Tamandua tetradactyla: one gene and its partners. The main gene of each other region encodes a partner of the protein of the gene in region 3 in a complex. Links are inferred from orthologs where the notes say so. Each region holds a gene or a part of one and is shown on either strand. Other genes may lie near its edges.

Region 1 (5,975 bases), on a different chromosome or scaffold from region 3:
TTTGTAACTCCACTTTTCACTTCTTACAGGATCTAAAAGGCAATGCATAAAATGTAAGGCAAAATCAAGGGTTTTGGACTCAATAAACAGGTAATTTGTGGTAAGACCTACATAAAGGTGAGGAGACAGAGAGTATAGGAACACAGTTTTTACTATTAACATTAAGTTGTATCAAAGAGATTGTTACAGATTTTGGTTGTTAAACTTAAGTCCCATGGCAACTACAAAGACAATATCTGAGAATATGCAAGGTCATGGAGACAGAAAGTAGAGTACAGGTTGCGGAGCATGGGTGGTGGTGGTTAGTAGGGGTAATGAGGAGGAAATGCAAAATGGGTATAGGGTTTGTGTTTGCCAAGTGGGAAAAATTTAGTAATGGCAGGTAGTGAGGGTTCTGCAACATAATATGACTAATCCCACTGAGTGATATGCTTGGGAGTGGTTGAGATGGAAAAGAAAGGTAAGAATCATTTGCAGCTTTCTTTTTTTTTTTTTTTTTTTAAAGAGAGAGGGAGGAAGGGAAGGAAAGACAGAGAAGGAAGGAAGGAAGGAAGGGAGGAAGAAAGGGAAACATCTTTAAACATTTTCTTGTTTTTATTATATTTTGTTTGTTTGTTTGTTTTTTACATGGGCTGGGGCCGGGAATCGAACCGGGGTCCTCCGGCATGGCAGGCAAGCACTCTTGCCCGCTGAGCCACCGCGGCCCGCCCTGCAGCTTTCTTAATGTCCCAGAATTTACCTCATGTGTTTTGAAGATTACTTCCACTTATGACTTCCTCTTGTTTTTCCTAGTCTCAATGTTCCTTTTGCTGCTTCCTCATCCATTTATGTTGCTTTTATGTTTCCTCATTATGGTGCTCTACTTTAAATATTTTCTGGAATAAGGCATGTCAGTAAATTAAGGATGGAAGTTCATAATAGTAATATTCATAAAGTAATGTAGTTAGTAGGTAAGAAACCAACGGGTTCTGGAAAAGAGAAGAGGGGATATCTGAGGTGGGTCTTGAAGAATAAATGGAATTTCACCAGGCAGAAAAGGCAGGGGAGGGCAATCTGTGCAGACAAGGAGACGGAGAAGGCACAGTTCTCATCAAAGGAAAGTGGAAGGAGAGATAAATAAACCAATTCTTATATTTAATAACATTAATTGAACATTACTATTATTGTTCAATAATAGTAATGTTCAATAAAACTCCATGGAAAGCCGTTTACAGTTTTTACTGCATTTAATCCTCAAACAACTTTAAGAGACAGATTTTTTTTTATCCCCATTCACAGAAAATGAAACTAAGGCTCAGAGGTTAATTAACGTGCCCACAGCCAGACTACCTGGAAGTGGCAGAGTGGGGGATTCCTGTTGCCTCCAAGAAGGTGGGGGGTACTTGACAGCTTCAGCATGTTTACTAGAATTCATCTTCCCTCCCCTTCTGTCTGACGAAACCTATCTCTCCTTTGCAGTTCTCTACCTCAAGAGAGAAGTAACACTAACAAGCACACAATTACTCAAGCTAGAAACTGGGGTCATCCTTGACTCCTCCCCTCACACCCACCCGATCACTTAAGTCCTGACTTCTACCTCATAAATATCTGTCCCACCTGTAAATTCTTTGCATTTCCTTGATGACTATCTTGGCCTGTGTCCCCATGACCTCTTGCCAGTAGCTACAAGACAGGATACATAACAGTGAAGTGCAAGAACTCAGGAGCTGGACTATGTAGTTTTGAATCCTGGCTCTATAACTTACTACCAGTGACCTTGGGCAAGTTATAGCCTCTTTGTGTCCCAGTTTCATTTGTAAAGTGGGAAAAATAATTAGAACACTGCTTGGCACATGGAATGAATACTATATAAATGTTAGAGAGGACAGAGTTAATTTAGCTCCTCACTTTCCCTTGCCTTCACCATTCTTCATAGTGGAGTGTTGTTTTACAAAATGCAAATCTGATCACACTACTCCAGTGTAAAAACTTTTACGGCTTCTAAATTCTGGCCATTACAAGTAATTGTGGTGTTCTTCCAACACTTTGGGGGCTTGTGCACAAGTGGTTCCCCACCTGGAACACTTTCCCCCAACTACATGTATTTATCCTTTAACAGTGGGATGAAGAATAACTTTTTGAGAGGGACTTTCTGATGTTCCAGAATGGATAAGCAATTTTTGTTACATGCTTCTATACTTCCGAATTTTGTACTTCTCCTGTAGTAACATTTACCACCTTTAAAAATTATTCCATGTGTCTGGGTGCATGGGTAGTTCAGTGGTTAGAATGCTCACATCTCATGTGGGAGACCCAGGTTTGATCCCTGGACCATGCAGCTCCCCCCATTCCCCCCCAAAAAATCATTCCACATGTCTTTCCCACTTGAATGTAACCTCTAAGAGGGGGAAAAGGTCTTGCCTCTTGGTTCTGGCTGTAATCTTAAAGCCTAGCCCAAGCAGGATAAATATCTACTGAATAAATGAAAGTGAAAAGAAGCAAAGTTGAAACTCCCTCATGAAGTTCCTGAACCTTTCATAGCCCCCCCCACTTCCACCACTCTCTACAATGTCTACAAATTTGGGTTCATCATTCTTCTTTCTATTGCTAGCCCCTTAAACTGTACCCAACTTTTCAGAAGGGGCCTTTCTAAGTCCCCTTAAAAAGGCCCCCTGATTTCCCATCCCACATGTCAAAGGACTACCATAACCAGATACCTTCCAGAGTGCTCCACCCAGTTGCCCACCATACCTGTTTCAACTCTTTCCCAAGGTGCTACCTTATTTCTGCTCTCCCTGTGTAGATGGCCCCCGGATCCGTCTTAAATTGATCCACTTTCCTAAATTGCCCTCACAACTGTCCACGAACCCAGCCTCTGCCTCCCCCACCACATCCATTCAGCTGGCAAACCTCCCCTCTCCAAGACACACATACATCCTTTACTATCCTGATCTACCGTAGGTGCCCTCATCTGTATATCTGCTGTTTGCCTCTCATAGCTCCCAAGTATTCCCTGATTGCCCTCCAGATATTCCATTCACATATCCCTTTTAGCTGATGTTCCCATCTCCCCCTCTCCACCCCAAATTCACATGCAGTTCCCAGATCTCATTGCGATCCATTGTCTGGGGGCCGTTCCGATCTGCCCAGAAAACTCCTTCCTCCACGTGTCACCCTCTGTATCCAGACGTCCCTAATACCCATGACCTGGAACCCACCCCTCTTTCCCAGGTTGCCCAGAAGCCCCCGCCCTATCCCTGGAGCTCCCACATCCTCCCATTCCCCCCACAGGCCTTCCGGGACCCGTGGTATCAAGCCTTTCACCAACTCCCTCCACCCTCCACTTCGGCGCTCCGTGAACCTACCTTACCCCGTCAATGCTCCCTTACCACATCCTTCTTCAACCCGGACCCCACCCGGTACCACCAGCCCACACACAGCTCCCAGCCTCCTCGGCCCCCATGTGTACTCTTATCCCCCGACGACCTTCCCAGCACACCCTCTTCACGCCCGGCGCCGCCTCCGGGGAGATCAGGCCGAGAGGCTCCGGGGAGAGGCCTGGAGGCCAGGGTCTCCGAGGGGTCCGACCCGGGAGGCCGAAGAACTCCCGGAAGCGGCCACGGAGACCGAAGGACTCCGGGGAGTGGGCCCAGGTGGTGGCGAACCGGCCTCACCGTCAGTCACGGCTCCCATGGCGTGCGCGGCGGCGGCGGCGGCGGCGGCGGCGGCGGCGCAAGCTGAGGCGGCGGTTGGCGGCGGCGGAGGTCAAACTCCCACAATGCAGCCGGGTAAACAGCCATGGAGGAGGAGGCGGCGGCGCCTGCGGCCGCCAGCTCCGACGCCTGAGCCGCGCCGCCGCCGCCGCGGGACCCGCGCTCCCCGCGCTCCCGGTACCCCCCGGGAGCTGCCGCGGCCGGCGCGTGTGCGGGCTAGGCCAGGCGGGCGGCGGCGGCCCCGGCTGGAGTCCCAGCCCCCGCCGCCCCCCTCTCTGCCCCCTCCCGGCCCACGCCCAGAGGCCGCTCCGGAGGCCGCAGCCAGCCGCCAGGTGAGCCAGTCCGGGCGCCGCCCGGGCTGCGGGGGCGCGCCGGGACTACTGGGGTCGGGGTGCGGCCCCTCTAGCATTCTGGGAGAAGTGGACCCTGCTTCCCCCACCCCGTCCAGGCTGTTGCGGGGGGTGCGCTCGCTTCCTGGGGTGAGGTGGGGAGGGCGGCGGGACGGGGAGCGCTGGAGCTGGGCGAGGCACCGAGGGGGGCGCGGCGCGAGGGTCTCGCCGAAGTTGGCGCCCACGCACGCCCGGGCGGGTCTCAAGCGTAGGGATTGCACCGGGCGCGGCTGGAGATCACGAAAGGCCCAGGGTTCCAGGTAGGGCGGTCGGGTCCCTGCTGCAACCCCTTTCCTCCCTGGGCTCGGGCCGGTGCTGGGAAAAAGGACGGAGAAACTTGTCCTCCGGAGGAGTTCTGCCGACTGACTAGGATCGTTGCGTGGTTGCCATCCCGCACCCGCACGCAGTTCCGCAACAGAGCCAGAATCTCGTCGGTGATCTGGATAGGGTGCATGTATTTATTTATTTATATTTTCTTTAATTTTCAAAAAATTGTCTCGCTGGCTGTCCTCGTCTTAAGGGGGAAGTTTTAAGTGTAGGGGTAGGGGGAGTGTCAATGAGAAATATTGCCTTGTGTGTAGAGTTAGACATTTCCGGAGTACACGGCAAATTATACTGACATCTCTTCCCAGAGTCACTTTGATTCAACTTGAATGAGTTTGCGGTAAATTCCAACATTTACTTGGTGAGAGAGGCCGGTCAGGGAACAGGCACCGATAAAGCGGATTCTTGACCTCCAGTGGAATAGAGAACAGTTAACCACAAGAAGCATGTCTGAGTTTTGAACCCAGGTTTGACATGTTAAATAAGCCATATCATTATTTTCCAATATTCTTACCTCCCAAGCTCCCTGTCTCTTTATCTGAGGATGAAGCAGTTGGCGCAGGATAAATTTTGCTGTTTCCTTTCCTTACTAAAGTTGGATTCATACTCTTCATTTCCCCTCAGTTTTTTCGAAAAGGAAGAATCGTTAAATGCAAATGTATGGCAGTGAAGTGCCTTTTACCTCTAGGTAGAAATCAGTATATGTAACATTTTTTTCATGTATTTCAGGCCAGAAACTTCAGTAATGCCATTTATAATGCTCTCAAGAGTTAGGGCCTTCAACTTTTGGCACAAAGGCAAGAATTACATTGAGTGAAGATTCTGAGGTTTTAACTTGACCGTTAGGATGTGAAACCTCTGGCTTTAAATAATAATTGGCGTAAGTCTGTTCAGTTCTTTGATTTTAGGAGAGAGGACATGCTAACCCACAGAATAGCTTGTTTGAAATCTTAAGTACTACAGACTGTAAATTGGAAGTGTCAGTTGACTATCTGTCTGTCCTGAGTGGCATTTTAATGATGGTTATTGTTGAAAAGGTAATTGTCAAATGGTGTTATAATGTGTTAAATTTTAAGTGACTTGTTACTTGATCTGATCATAATACTGATTTTGAAACATTATCTAGAGATTTAAAATAATCTTTAATGTTTTTATAGGAACATATCACTTGTTTCCTGTAACTGTTAATATTTCGTGAACCAGTCATTTGTAGATGGAGTCCTGGTCAAACATTTATAAGTTCATTTTGTGGCTTATAATTTTGTTGAATAGTGTTAGTAATTTTCTAAAGTAACGAGATTAATTGGAGAGACTGAAGTTTGAGGTATTTCTGAAAATAAATATTCTTGAAAGTTCTTGACTCACGTAGTGGGAAGCACATCATAATTTGAACTGTTATGAATTTTTAACTACCTGTTTTGTCAGCCACATAACTTAACTCATAGATGTATGGACACAGAGCTTTGTTTTGACCATTTAAGACCTTTTGTAATTGCCCTTCCTTCACATCATATATAGTGAGGGAACAACTAGGAAATTTTAGAAGTGGCCTTTTCATATTATCGGTTAT
Region 2 (5,975 bases), on a different chromosome or scaffold from region 3:
TAAGACAGATGCATGTAACATCTTGGAATTGTTAAGGAATTGTACCTGTTCATTCTAGCTGGAGCATAAAGCTCAAGGGAAATTTAGCATGAAATGAGGCTGGATGGAAAAACAGGTTCAGTGTAAGCACTTTATAAAATACTATTTAGTTTCTGATTCAATTAAGCAAGGCTTTTTGATCCTTGATTGTGTATGAGGCACCAAGTGTATCAAGGACAATTCACCAGGATGTACTGCCAGCACTTTGCAGATGTGACAGTGTTCAGCCTCAAGCTTTCTAATGGCCAAAGGGAAATCTTGACTGCTTTTCATATATTTGAGTCAGTGTTTTGATGAGGTCAATGAGAACTAATATAAGGGCAGTGGGATTTTTACAGAAATATTCCATCTTATTAAAAGCCTCTGAGATTTTCTCAACCACGAAAAAAGAAAACTGGGAGTTTGAAGGCGTGGAGTCTGGAGAGGGGATGCCAGTCATTCTCCAGTCACAAGCTAGTGGGAATGGGGGAAGGGTACACTAAAGTGAACCTACCTCCTCTACCACCTAAATCCAGCCATACTCTCATGTCATAGAATGTAAATGAGTTAGTATAACAGTTGCAGGTTAAATAATTTCCTTTCTCATCAATGCATGAAGGTAGAATATCAGAGTCTTCTCACTGTATTTTTTAGGGTATATGGGATTTTCAGGGTATGGCGAATTTAGAAAGTGGAAGAATTAAAAGCTTCAATTTTTCAGTTACTATAAGAAATCAGGAAGCTTTGTTCATTCAGGCTATGCACCATGTGCACAGTCAAGAATCAGCAGAAACCCTCTGCATTTGCAAACACTTTGTGCTATAAAAAGTAATAAAGAAAAAAGCCACCTGTATATATATTTAAAGATGTGAAGGTTTTGATACTTTTTTACAAAAACTACAAGAGAAAGCATACCTGTACAAACCGTCTACTTTAACATAGTGTTTTGTTCTATACAAGCTGCTGTTATTTTGAGGGTGAAGTACTGGTTTGCAAACTCCATCACATTGTGCCCAATGGATTTTCCTTGTTTGTCTTTATCTTCCCCACCCAAATTACTGTCTTTGATGTGACAGGCATGTTAGAATGTTGGGTTGCCCTAACCATTTCTGCTCTTTTCACTTTGTCATTCCAAGTTTGGTTACCTTCTGTGCTCAGTGCAGTCTGGTTTCTCTTCCAGAGGCAAAGGGACTGAGGGTGGTGTGCTGCATTTCACTAGCTGTACTGGAATTATCCTGATGAACTGAAAACCAAATGTGAACATTTGTAAAATCAGTGCCCTGTTTCTAGAAAGATTAAATTCATTTTTTTTAAAATCTGGAAGCATTGTTTCATTGTGATGTTTTAATGAGGGGGGAGTGGACTAACACTGAGCCCCTGTTGTGTAACACGTGTTTTACATTATCTCAGTCTTTGACAATCTGTGAGATAAATATTATCAATATTATTCGCCCCATTTTACAGATGAGACGATCCCAAAATGGTGAAATAACTGCACAAAGTTATTTTTAGTGCCCCCAAAGGACATTTGCAAATGTAGCATTCTCTAACGCTGTGGTCTTCAACCCTGACTCACCAATGCCCATATACATCCTTAGAGGATTTATTTCATTGGTTTGGGGTGGGGTCTGGGTATCAGTATGTTTTCTAGCTCCTCAATGACTCTAATGGGCGGCCAGGGCTGAGAATCACTGTTGGATAAGCAGTACACAGAGGACCGAGGAGTGGAAGATCAAAATATTCAATTTAACTTTTACTCACAGAACCTACTATAGAGACCAGGGGACAATTAAACATTCATAATAAGTTAGAAAAGCGTAAAATGAAGGATAACCAACTGTGGGGGGCGGGGGGGGGTTAGTTCCAGAGAGATGGCAATCTCCACTATGGATTCAGAGAAAGCGTTACAGAGAACGGTTTTCTTGAATTGATGTTTAAACAGCAAAGTTCAGTCGAGGCTGACTTTAGACACAAACATCATTCGCGGCGGTCCTCTCCCGGGTTCTGTGAGATGGGAGCATTTAACCCCATTTTACTGTTGAGAAGACCTATGTCCAGAGACAATGAAGAGCTTGCCTGACTCACACAAGGTCGGGGGTTAGGCCTGGAGGGGGGTGCAGGACTAGGAGGGATTCAGGCCGGAGAGCTCCTGGCGACGAGTCTTGGCCTCACAGCGAGATTCCAGACTCCCTCTGGAGAATTCGAACAAACCCAGAACTAAGGAAAACCACGGCAGGCGCTTCCGGGTTACGGGGGTGGGGACGGGAGGGAAGCCTTGACCCCGCCCCCGAACGGGAGGGGCGAGGCAGCCTTGTTTCCGCCTCTGGGAGAAAGGGACGCCGCAGCCTTGTTCTCGCGGGTACGGGCAGGGAGGGATCCCTTGCTCTCGCGACGGCGTTGTCGTGACGTCACTTCTCCGCGCCGCCGAACGTCAGTGTTGGTCGCGTACAGCCGCCGCGCTGTTTGCTATGTAAGTTCAGTCTCCGTGGCCTTTTATGAGCCATGGAGAGTGACTTTTATCTGCGTTACTATGTGGGTCACAAGGGCAAGTTCGGCCACGAGTTTCTGGAATTTGAGTTCCGACCTGACGGTAAGAGCGGCCTGGCGCAGTGGGGAGCGGGTACTAGGCCTGGGGCGGGGGAGTGAGGAGGCCTAAGAGTCGGAAATGTGCGGTGAATGAGAGGAGCGAGGGACTAAGACCTGTATAGCGCGGACCTGAAAGGAACGTTCCTGTGCCGATTCCACTGGTTCCATATCTTTCTATCCATATGCAAGGACTCCTGTTTAGAAACATGTTTGACCAGAGTGCTTTCATTTAACAAACACTGAATGCTCCCTTTGTGCCAGGCTTTTTTCCGCTCTCTGGGGATACAGCAGTGAAGAAGATGGACAAGCATACTCTCTCAGCATTTATATTCTAGTGCTAGAGACAGATCACAAACAAGCAAAAAAGAAGATTCCAGGTAGTGATGAGCGGTCAGAAAAAAATAAAGCAAAAAGACTAATTACTGGATGAGTTGCTTTAAGATAGGGTGGCCATTGGAGTGCTCTCTGAAGAAAGGATAATTTGAACTGAGGTCTGAGTGGCAAGAATGAATCAGTGCTGTGAAGCTCAGGAGCAAAGGCATTGTAGACAGGGAGTAGAAAGTGCCAAGGCTGTAGGAAATGAGCTAGGCATGTTTCAAGTGACCAGTGTCACTGAAGAATAGTAAGCTCCCAGGAAAATAGCATGAGGTGATGTGAGATAGCGGCCACATCACGTAAGCCATATTGGATTTTATTGTAAATGCGGCAGAAAACAGTTGGAAAGTTTTAAGCAGGGAAGTGATGTGATCTGTTCTGTTTTTGAAAAGAGTATTCATTGTTGGATGCAAAATGGGCAAAAGTGGAAACAGGGCTGCTTACTAGGAGACAGTTACAATTGTCAAGACGAAAGGTTATCAGTTGGGACCGGGGTGGTAGTAGAACTGGAGAGAAGCATTTAGGATACTGTTGGAAGCAGAACCAACTGAGACTTCGCTGAAAGAATTTGGGGAGTGGGCACTGAAGTGAAAGAAAGGTATCAAAGATACCAAAACTTCTACTAAATGGTAGAAGAAAGATGAACCTGCGAAGTCCTGATTTTGAGGGAGATAGAGTTGAAGATGGTGAGAAAGTACTGTTTTAGGTACTGTGATATAAAGATAGTGGAGACCTGGGAGCAGAGAGAGGGCACGTAAGCAAGTGCCCTGAAGGTCAGGAAAGGCATTGTAAATGAAGTGTAGCTTGAGGGGAGTGGAGTGAGTATTTAGGAATATGTAGGAGTTGGTTAGGCAGACAAGAATCAGTAAGGCATTTTGGACAGCATTATCAGTCAAGAGGTTGAAAATCAAAAAGGACATGTAATGTTTCAAATAGAACCCAAGCAGTTTGGTTGACTCCCCAGCTATGGGAGAGAGGAATATTGCAGGATTGAGGTTGGAAAAGTAGGTGGGCACACACATTGACAGTATGCCATGCTGAGGAGTTTGGATTTTATCAGGAAAGCTGTGGGGATCCATTGAAGTATCAGAGTAACCTATTCGTATAGGTCTGTTACTAGATCACTTGGGCTCCGAACTGAAAGAAAGAGACTCGAAGCAGAGAGACAGTACAGAGGCCATTAGAATAATTTGGCTTTTTTTAATATGTGCCCTCTATTAGGTAAAAAAATAATGTCTTCTATTTCCTTTTATCTTCTCTTTCATTCCCCACCATATACCCAGATCAGATTGTTGGATGTACATGTGGAGGCTCACCAAGGGCATGTAAACCAAATGTGCTCAGTTATAAAAGCGCAACTTTTATATTACAGGAATAGTTCAGTGTTGTACAGTCATCTGATAATGTATAAAAACAGCCTTTACATTTTTCAAAATGCTTTCACAACTCATTTGCGCCTCAGGAAGCCCTGAGTCAGATATTTTATCAATTATGTTCCTATTTTCACAGAGCTGTCCTTTACCCACGATCACAAAAGAGCCTGCCATGTTTTGTGTGGTTTTTTGTTTTGTTTTGGTGCATGGCCCAGGAATCGAACCCAGGTCCCCCACATGAAAGGCAGGCATTCTACCACTGAACCACCCCTGCTATGTTCTTTTCCCACACTTGAGCTGTCTTTTGCAAGAAATATAGTTCAATGTCAGCCATATTTTTGGCTGTGAGGATGTTTAATAGCCTAAAGTGAGGAACTGAAAAGACTAGCATTGTTGAAACACAAGGTGTAAATAGTAAATTTCTTAGACAATTTGAAGGGAAAGTTAGGGTACATTTTAAGCAACAAGTGATAATCTTGGTAGGCTATTTATTTTTAATTGTACATTGAATTTGTTTTTTTTGCCCCTCACAGGGAAATTGAGATATGCCAATAACAGCAATTACAAAAATGATGTCATGATCAGAAAAGAGGTATGAACCTTCATTCACTACAGTAGAGACTTTTCCTTGTGTTATTTTTGTTCTTTCTGGAAGTAATATTGAAAGATAAAGAACTGGGAAGTAGACACAACTGTAGGCAGCTTCTCAATTCCTTCTCAGATATTCCTTTAGTTTATGCTTTCATTCACAGTGTAGAATCAGTTACTGGTCATCATGGAGTCTGGCAGATCTTGGTTTGAACCCTGAACCTGTTTCTTACTAAACATGTGACCTTGGCAAGTTTCCTGGCTGAACTCAAGTCTCAGTTTCTTCATCTGCAAAAACAAGGTTAATAGAACTCATCCATCCCCAGCTCTGACAGAGAATTAAATACATTAAACTTAAAGTGCTTCATATATTTCTTGACACATATACTCAGTAGAGAGAGATACTGTTGAATTTGAATTTGAAATGACAGGGAACATGGTAAAGCAGCTAACATTCGTTGAATACATGTTAGATGCCAGGCATGGAGCTAGGTATTTTACATGAAGGAACTTATTTAACGCTGATTGTAAGTCCGTGTAATAGATGGTATATATCATCTTTAGAAAATGAAGGCACAGATCTTAACTAAAGGACTTGTTCAAAGACACCTCTGCTAGTAAAAAATAGAGGAATTCAAACATGCATACATTTCTCAAGTCCATATGCTCCATTCTTTCGTGATTTCTACTATGCCTTTAAGGCTTCCTCAAAGCCACACTTGCCTTTTAACCATTTTGTCATATTTAAAAGTGTCTTTACAGTTTATATATTTTCATAATATTATGTCTAATTAGCAATTGTTTTTATATTTATCCACACATGTCAGCATCCTCACATTTTTCTACATGGACTTATATCCAAAATGTACTTTAAAAGATATGTCTCTGCTCTTCAGAAGCATGTCATGTAGTTAAAAGTAACCAGGATGTGAGACATTCACAGACATTTAGTGATTACCCAGATCTTCTATTCTGGGTTCAGGTGTCAGTTGAGTATGTGGGCAGAAGACAGTCATTGTGACCAAGATGTGCCAA
Region 3 (5,975 bases):
TCACAGGTGCCTGACGCCCTGTCACTGTTCTGTTGGTCAAATTTGATTTTCGATTCTGCCACAGCTTCCATGAGCTTCCCAGCGACCACCTTACCAAAAACACGATTAAGAGAAGGAACACCCTTATACCTTGCACCGCAGCAATGCAGAAAACAGCAGGGAACACAATCGGACATTATGAGGTTAGGATGGTGAATTCAGGTTTGAGGACACAAACACAAGGAAAAAGAAAGGTCCACCCTAGTGCCCTGAAATCTGTGGAAAACACAGGTGCTCTGCCCCCTGTCCCATGCCCTCACCTCTAGGTGCAGGTGCAATGACAGGTAACTCCAGGTAAAGGACTGCTACTGCTCTGGGTCCTCCCACCCACTGAGTTAGAGAGGACTTAAGAACAGCAGGAGCAGAAACAGGAGAGTGTCAAGATAAAATTCTCCTGGAGCACAAACTCTAACCCCCAGGCCAAGGTGCCAAAATGTCAGATAGGATTGCCTCTCCCCACCCAGCTCCACCCCACCCCACCCGGGCAGACCCCGGGCCTCTGGCCCAGGGGAGCACCCAACAACGGCACAACAAAACCATTCCAGCTCTACACACATTTCCATTTTATTATTATGGCAAAGGTGAAAACGCCACCTTCTCCACAACAGCAACCAGTAAAATTTATCCCAAAAATAACTCAGTACAAAACAGGTCTGTTTCAGAATTTAAAAAAAAAAGAAAAGGAAAAAAAAACAAACAAAAAACAACAACCTTTACATGAGCTTTAAATCCTACTTTAAAACATAAAAGAAACAAATCCATGGCTGCACACAGCCCTCCGCCCCCCACTCCGGGGCATGCGGATGAGCCGTCGGGGCCTGCTCCACGCACGGACTTGGGGTCTGCTCAGCTGGTGTCCATCTGAAACAGAACAGGAGAGGTTGTCACTGGGAAGCAGTCCCCATTTCCCAGCCTCGCTTGGGCTGCTCCCTCCCTGTACACACACCCCTGGACTTACTCGGGCATTATAAGCATCCAACTGGGCATCCAACTCCTCCGCAGAAAGCTGCTGTTTTGAACTCCTGCCAGCTCCTCTGCCTCTTCCCCGGCTGCCTCCGCGGGTGCCTCTCCGAGGGCCACCGACACCTCCGAAACCTCCAGAGCCACGGCTTCGCGTCATTCCGCCTCTGTTTACACTGACGAGGAACAGAGGAGTTGCTCACACTCGGTCAGGCCCCAAGGATGGACACCACCATATGCCATAGGCCTACCCCCACTGCTCCATGGGCCCCAGAACTCACCTCTGTGCAGGTCTCCGCTGCGTGTCAATCTGTGATGTGACGAGTTGAATGTTCATGGGGCGGCCTACAGCAAACAAAGAGCACAGTTGCCAGATAGAGGTCATGCCTAATCTGAGGGTGCCCTACCTGGTCTTCATGCAAGCACTGCAAAGGGTTCTTGTGCTGTGTCAAACACTTCCAACAAGGGAATGACCTGGAAATACTGGTAGGGGAACAAAAAGGCAATAAAAACAACCCCCCCAAGGCCTCCTCTTTGCTCTCAGCCCAGTCTAGGTGGGAGGAAGAGGGTTCTGACGAGGAAAATGGTACCTCTGTCTCTAGACTACAACCTGCATTCAGAAGTTTACTATGGCAGTTCTGAGAAGGCTTCCCAGAACTTCCGGATGTCCAGATGTAAGGGACAGCATGCAAGGCAGTAGAATGGAAGAGACAAAGGGGCAAATGCAAAGCGTCCCTGGCCACAGAGCTCAGCCATATCCCTGCGTGGACAAGTGCCACCCCCAAACTCTACCCTTCGTGTACAACCCTGCAGCCATACTGGTCCAAACCCAAACTCACCATCTAAAGGGACACCGTTGTATTGTTTCATAGCCTTCAGAGCGTCAGCCTTCCGTTCAAAGTGCACATCTGCTGTTCCTAAACTCCGGCCAGATCGGTCGTAGTGCACAGCAGCCTTTTTCAGAGTTCCAAATTCAGCAAAGAGTTCCTGGGAATTGGAAAGAGCAGACTCGTAAGCAGAGCTGTTTCCCTTTAGTGTCCCAGGGATGGTCCCTGGAAGTGAAATCTGCTTTGGGGGTGTTTCCCTGGGAGGCAGCCATGTACACAGGGGCAGGGCAGTGGGAACTGGGGGAAGGGATGGGGTGGGTAGGACAGCAACTTCCAAAGCACCTGGGTCTGAGGGCTCCTGCCAACTGAGGGACTTGAAATCTATAACTCGATGCAGGGAAAGGAAGTTGCAGGAACCCACAAGTGAAGGGCACAAAATTAAGCCGCTCTCCTTTTTGACAAAAGAAAATTTACAACTCTCCCAAGAACTGTTCCAAGAAACAGCGAAGGCCTAGATCACACAGCAAGGGAAGCTGCCCAACATTCCAGGACAGCTTGAAGGGCCCCTTGATTTGGGAGCCCTAACCCCAGTCCCTCCCCCGAAGGCAGATTCTGGCTCACCTTTCCCTCTCCTCCTACTCAAGCCTGCCGCAAAGTCTGAAGTCAAGCGCTGCCATGGAAACTGCCCTGACCTCAGGCAGGCTGGGAGTTGGAGAGGGAACCCAGAGTGTGGGGCTACTCCGGCCGCAGGCACACAGCGGGAAGTGGAGTCACCAAAAGCGGTTTCCAGTGGCTGCCAGAAACCACCTTAAAAAAAGTGTTGAGACACTGTGAGTGCTCACCGGCCTTGCTCCGTCCTCCCACGGCAAAGCCCAATGGCCATGCTCTGGGAGATGCAACCCAGGAAGGCCCAGCACCCTGACCCAGCCATCTCCAAGACTGATCCCCAAGAAACTGTTTCTTTACCAGAAAAACAAGTTTAAATTCCTTTAGGTTCAATAAAAAACAAAAAACAAAAACAAAAACCAGTCTTCAACCAAAGATGAGCTTAGAACCAAACCACTGACAAAACCTGGGGGGAGCGGCAGGGGACGGGGTGGGGGTGGTACCACTGGGCCACAAGTCATACTTGATAGAAAGCCTCAAGGCCAACAGAGCTGAAAAACCACTAAGACCCTACTTCTGTACTTTGTTAGTTAAAACGTGTGTGTGTGTGTGTGTGTGTGTGTGTGGATTCTTCTCCCAATAGATCATTAAAACAGCAACAAAACAAGGAAAGCAAGCAGCCAGAAGTAGAAAGCTCTGCAGGGGATTTTCAGACACCAAAAACACGTTTTTGCAAAAACTAATACACTAAGGTCTTATCTTCTAACAAACACTGATTCACTTATTCAACTTTCAACTTTTCCTGACCACTGCTGGGCAGGGTCTCTCCTGCAGCCCCTTACACGGAAGCAGTGGCTATTTCTGGGGCAGCTGGGAGGGCTTCCTTTCCTAAGGCGGGAACAGGATTCAGGGCCCATGACAAACACGATTAGTTCTGTGCAAGGTGAACTACTCACGGAGACGCTTCCGTTTCTTACCTGAATATCAGCGTCTGATACTCCAAAATCCAGATTTGACACCAGCAGTTTCCCACCGGTCTCCACGCCGGCACCTCCTCCAAAGCCGCTGTCGAACAGATCGTGTTGCCACTTATCGGGAAGCTGTTTTGGCTGAAAGAGAAAACCCCATAGAACAGAAAAAGACCGGTGAGTCTCACTCTAGGGCTTTTCCTTGCCCTCAGGGCTCATCCCAAGATCCTGCTCCCTTCCTCAACCGGGCCCTGGGAGAAATCGCCGAGAAGGGGCCTCTGGCCCTTCCCTCCCTGCCCCGGCCCGAGACCCCGACGGTCCCGCCGCTTCCGCGCAACTTCTCAGGTTCCCTTCAACTAACTTCCCGCCGCCGGTGCGGCCGCGCCCAGCGTTCCCTCCGCTCCCAGCCGCCATGAGGTTGCAGCGCCCGGATGAGACAAAGAGGCTGAGAAGGTCTGAGCCTCCCGGGGCCAACCCCAGGCCGCGCGACCTCCCCGGCGTCTACCACACCCGCCGGCTTCGGGACCAGCTGCCAGGCCTCGGGGCCAGCCCTCTCCACTCGGCGCTCCCGCGGCCTGCCGGGCCGGGCCTCAGCGCACTCCGCGCCCCGCAACCCCAGTGGCCTTCGCGTCCACTCACCCTGCTGTAGGGCGCCGGCCGGTTCCTGCCGCCGCCGCCAGCTGCGCCGCGGGCGATGGCCGGCCGGTTCCGGATGGACCCGCCGCCTCGATTCACGCGCGCGGCGGCCTGCGCTCCGCCGCCGCGGCCGCCCTGGGAGCCGGCCCGACCGCGGCCCCGGCCCCCGCCGCGGCCGCCTCGCTGGCTCCGGTTCAGCTTAATGATGTCGTCCAGAGACATATCCATTTTGTCGGCCATGGCGGGCGCGGAATCGGGCCTCGGTTCGAGCGCGCGCGTCAGCACGCCGGGGCGTCACTTCCTTCGCCGCGCGGGGACTTCCGGAGTCGCGGCCCCGGAGCCGCTGTCGATTGGCTGACGGCGAGCGGCTAGTCGCGCGAGGCGGGGAGGCGCGTGCGCAGCGAGGCGCACAGCTCGGCGACCTCAGCCCGACTGGTGCTGGGCTGCGGCTGCTGTCGTTTTTATACCTTCCCGCGCGGACGCTGGCGCCACAACGGCCGACGGGCGGGGCCGCGTTGCGTAGGATTAGGTTAGGGAAGGGGCGAGGGCGTCCTGGGTTGGGCGGGGGCCGTTGGGGGCGGGGCCTGACGTGCCCGTCCCTCGGGCTGGGGGCGGGGCCCCTGGGACGCCCCCGAGCTCTCCGCGCTCTCGGTCGCGTCCTGAGCCGGATGCCCGGCGGGCACCGCGGCTTGTTTCCCCGCCGTTTCTCACGGGACCGCCCGGCCGACCGTCTCCAGCGATTCGTCTTTCAGGGCCTAGCGGTTGCCCCGGGCAGGTATGGGGGTCGGGGGTACAGACTCATGCGTCTGTTTGTGCCTTTTCGAGAGTTAAAAATCTCACAGCGTGCGCGGTTTGGGGCTCCATCCCCCAAGTTAGCCACGGTCATTTGTTTGTTAGTTGTGTCCTTTTTGGAAGTGTCGTGTGACCTGTTTACAGGGCGTTAAGGAAAGCAGCAGCCCTTTCGTGAATGTCCAGGTCTCCGTAGTTACCGTAAACGCGAGGCAAAGCCAAACTCTCCAAAGCCGTGGTCCCAAGTCTGATGCCCTCCTTGCCAGCGCGAGCTGAGGCCCCTTTTCAGGGCTTTCTTTCCCTCTGGGCCCCTAAAGACACGGCTAAAGGAACCTTTAAGAAACCCCGGGTGCAAAGCCAGGCACTCCGCTCCCCTTGGCCTTGGCCGGTGGCTGCTCCCCTGCAGCGCGGGCCCTCTTGGCTGGGAGAAGCACGCCCTGGGAGCCTTAGTGTTCTAGCTCTGTAGACCGGATTCACCAAGGTAACCCTCTTCCCATCACAGCCATGAAGGTGAAGATCAAGTGCTGGAACGGCGTGGCCACTTGGCTCTGGGTGGCCAATGACGAGAACTGCGGCATCTGCCGGATGGCCTTCAACGGCTGCTGTCCCGACTGTGAGTGCCTCCCTCTTGGCAGTGCTGTTTGAGCCTACTTGCCTGACATTGTCGTTTCCTGAAAGTACCTGGGTAAAATCCCTGGGTTTTAATTTTGTTTTCCTGAAGAAAAGGTGACAGGAAAAAAAGGCAAGCAGTTTGGGCCCATGTTTTTATAAAGATCGAGGCAAAAAAGTTTTATAAGAAAAGCCAGTGCAGCATTTTATTGTAATCAAACTCAGCAATGAGACACACAAGACAAAAACAGATCTAAGACTTTTTAGTTTGAAAATTTCAAACAAACTAGCAAAAAAGGTAAAATAGCATAAGGAACACCCCCTTATCCCCTCCCCCTCCCACCCACGCCAGGGAATTAACAATGAATAGCCTTTATTTCTATTTTAAAGTCAGATTTATTGAGTTTTAACTTATATTATAAAACTTGCCATTTGTAGGTATGTGGTTTGTTGGCTTTTTTTATTAGAGAAGTTGTAAGTTTATAGAAAAATCACTCATAAGATGAAGTGTCTTTTAACATCTTTGCTGAAGTATTTTCAA

The links.
Region 1: ALYREF (region 3) and THOC7 share a complex: the UniProt entries of both Homo sapiens proteins name them as parts of the transcription/export (TREX) complex. The link is inferred for Tamandua tetradactyla from reciprocal best matches to the Homo sapiens genes ALYREF and THOC7.
Region 2: ALYREF (region 3) and MAGOH share a complex: the UniProt entries of both Homo sapiens proteins name them as parts of the ALYREF/THOC4-EJC-RNA complex. The link is inferred for Tamandua tetradactyla from reciprocal best matches to the Homo sapiens genes ALYREF and MAGOH.

What each region holds. Positions count from the first base shown.
Region 1 is NC_135341.1:20,810,013-20,815,987, reverse strand, and holds the start of THOC7 (THO complex subunit 7), read right to left. Parts: upstream 3,817-5,975; 5' UTR 3,673-3,816; coding exon 3,654-3,672; intron 3,626-3,653; exon of another isoform or gene 3,479-3,625; intron 876-3,478; exon of another isoform or gene 740-875; intron 1-739. UniProt on the Homo sapiens protein: Component of the THO subcomplex of the TREX complex which is thought to couple mRNA transcription, processing and nuclear export, and which specifically associates with spliced mRNA and not with unspliced pre-mRNA.
Region 2 is NC_135328.1:168,392,323-168,398,297, forward strand, and holds the start of MAGOH (protein mago nashi homolog), read left to right. Parts: upstream 1-2,421; 5' UTR 2,422-2,520; coding exon 2,521-2,608; intron 2,609-2,625; exon of another isoform or gene 2,626-2,981; intron 2,982-4,885; coding exon 4,886-4,944; intron 4,945-5,975. UniProt on the Homo sapiens protein: Required for pre-mRNA splicing as component of the spliceosome. Plays a redundant role with MAGOHB as core component of the exon junction complex (EJC) and in the nonsense-mediated decay (NMD) pathway.
Region 3 is NC_135332.1:74,073,799-74,079,773, forward strand, and holds ALYREF (THO complex subunit 4), read right to left. Parts: upstream 4,376-5,975; 5' UTR 4,277-4,375; coding exon 4,040-4,276; intron 3,542-4,039; coding exon 3,410-3,541; intron 1,987-3,409; coding exon 1,839-1,986; intron 1,345-1,838; coding exon 1,281-1,344; intron 1,176-1,280; coding exon 998-1,175; intron 901-997; coding exon 886-900; 3' UTR 579-885; downstream 1-578. Other genes in the region: ANAPC11 (anaphase-promoting complex subunit 11), read left to right, coding at 5,330-5,438. UniProt on the Homo sapiens protein: Functions as an mRNA export adapter; component of the transcription/export (TREX) complex which is thought to couple mRNA transcription, processing and nuclear export, and specifically associates with spliced mRNA and not with unspliced pre-mRNA.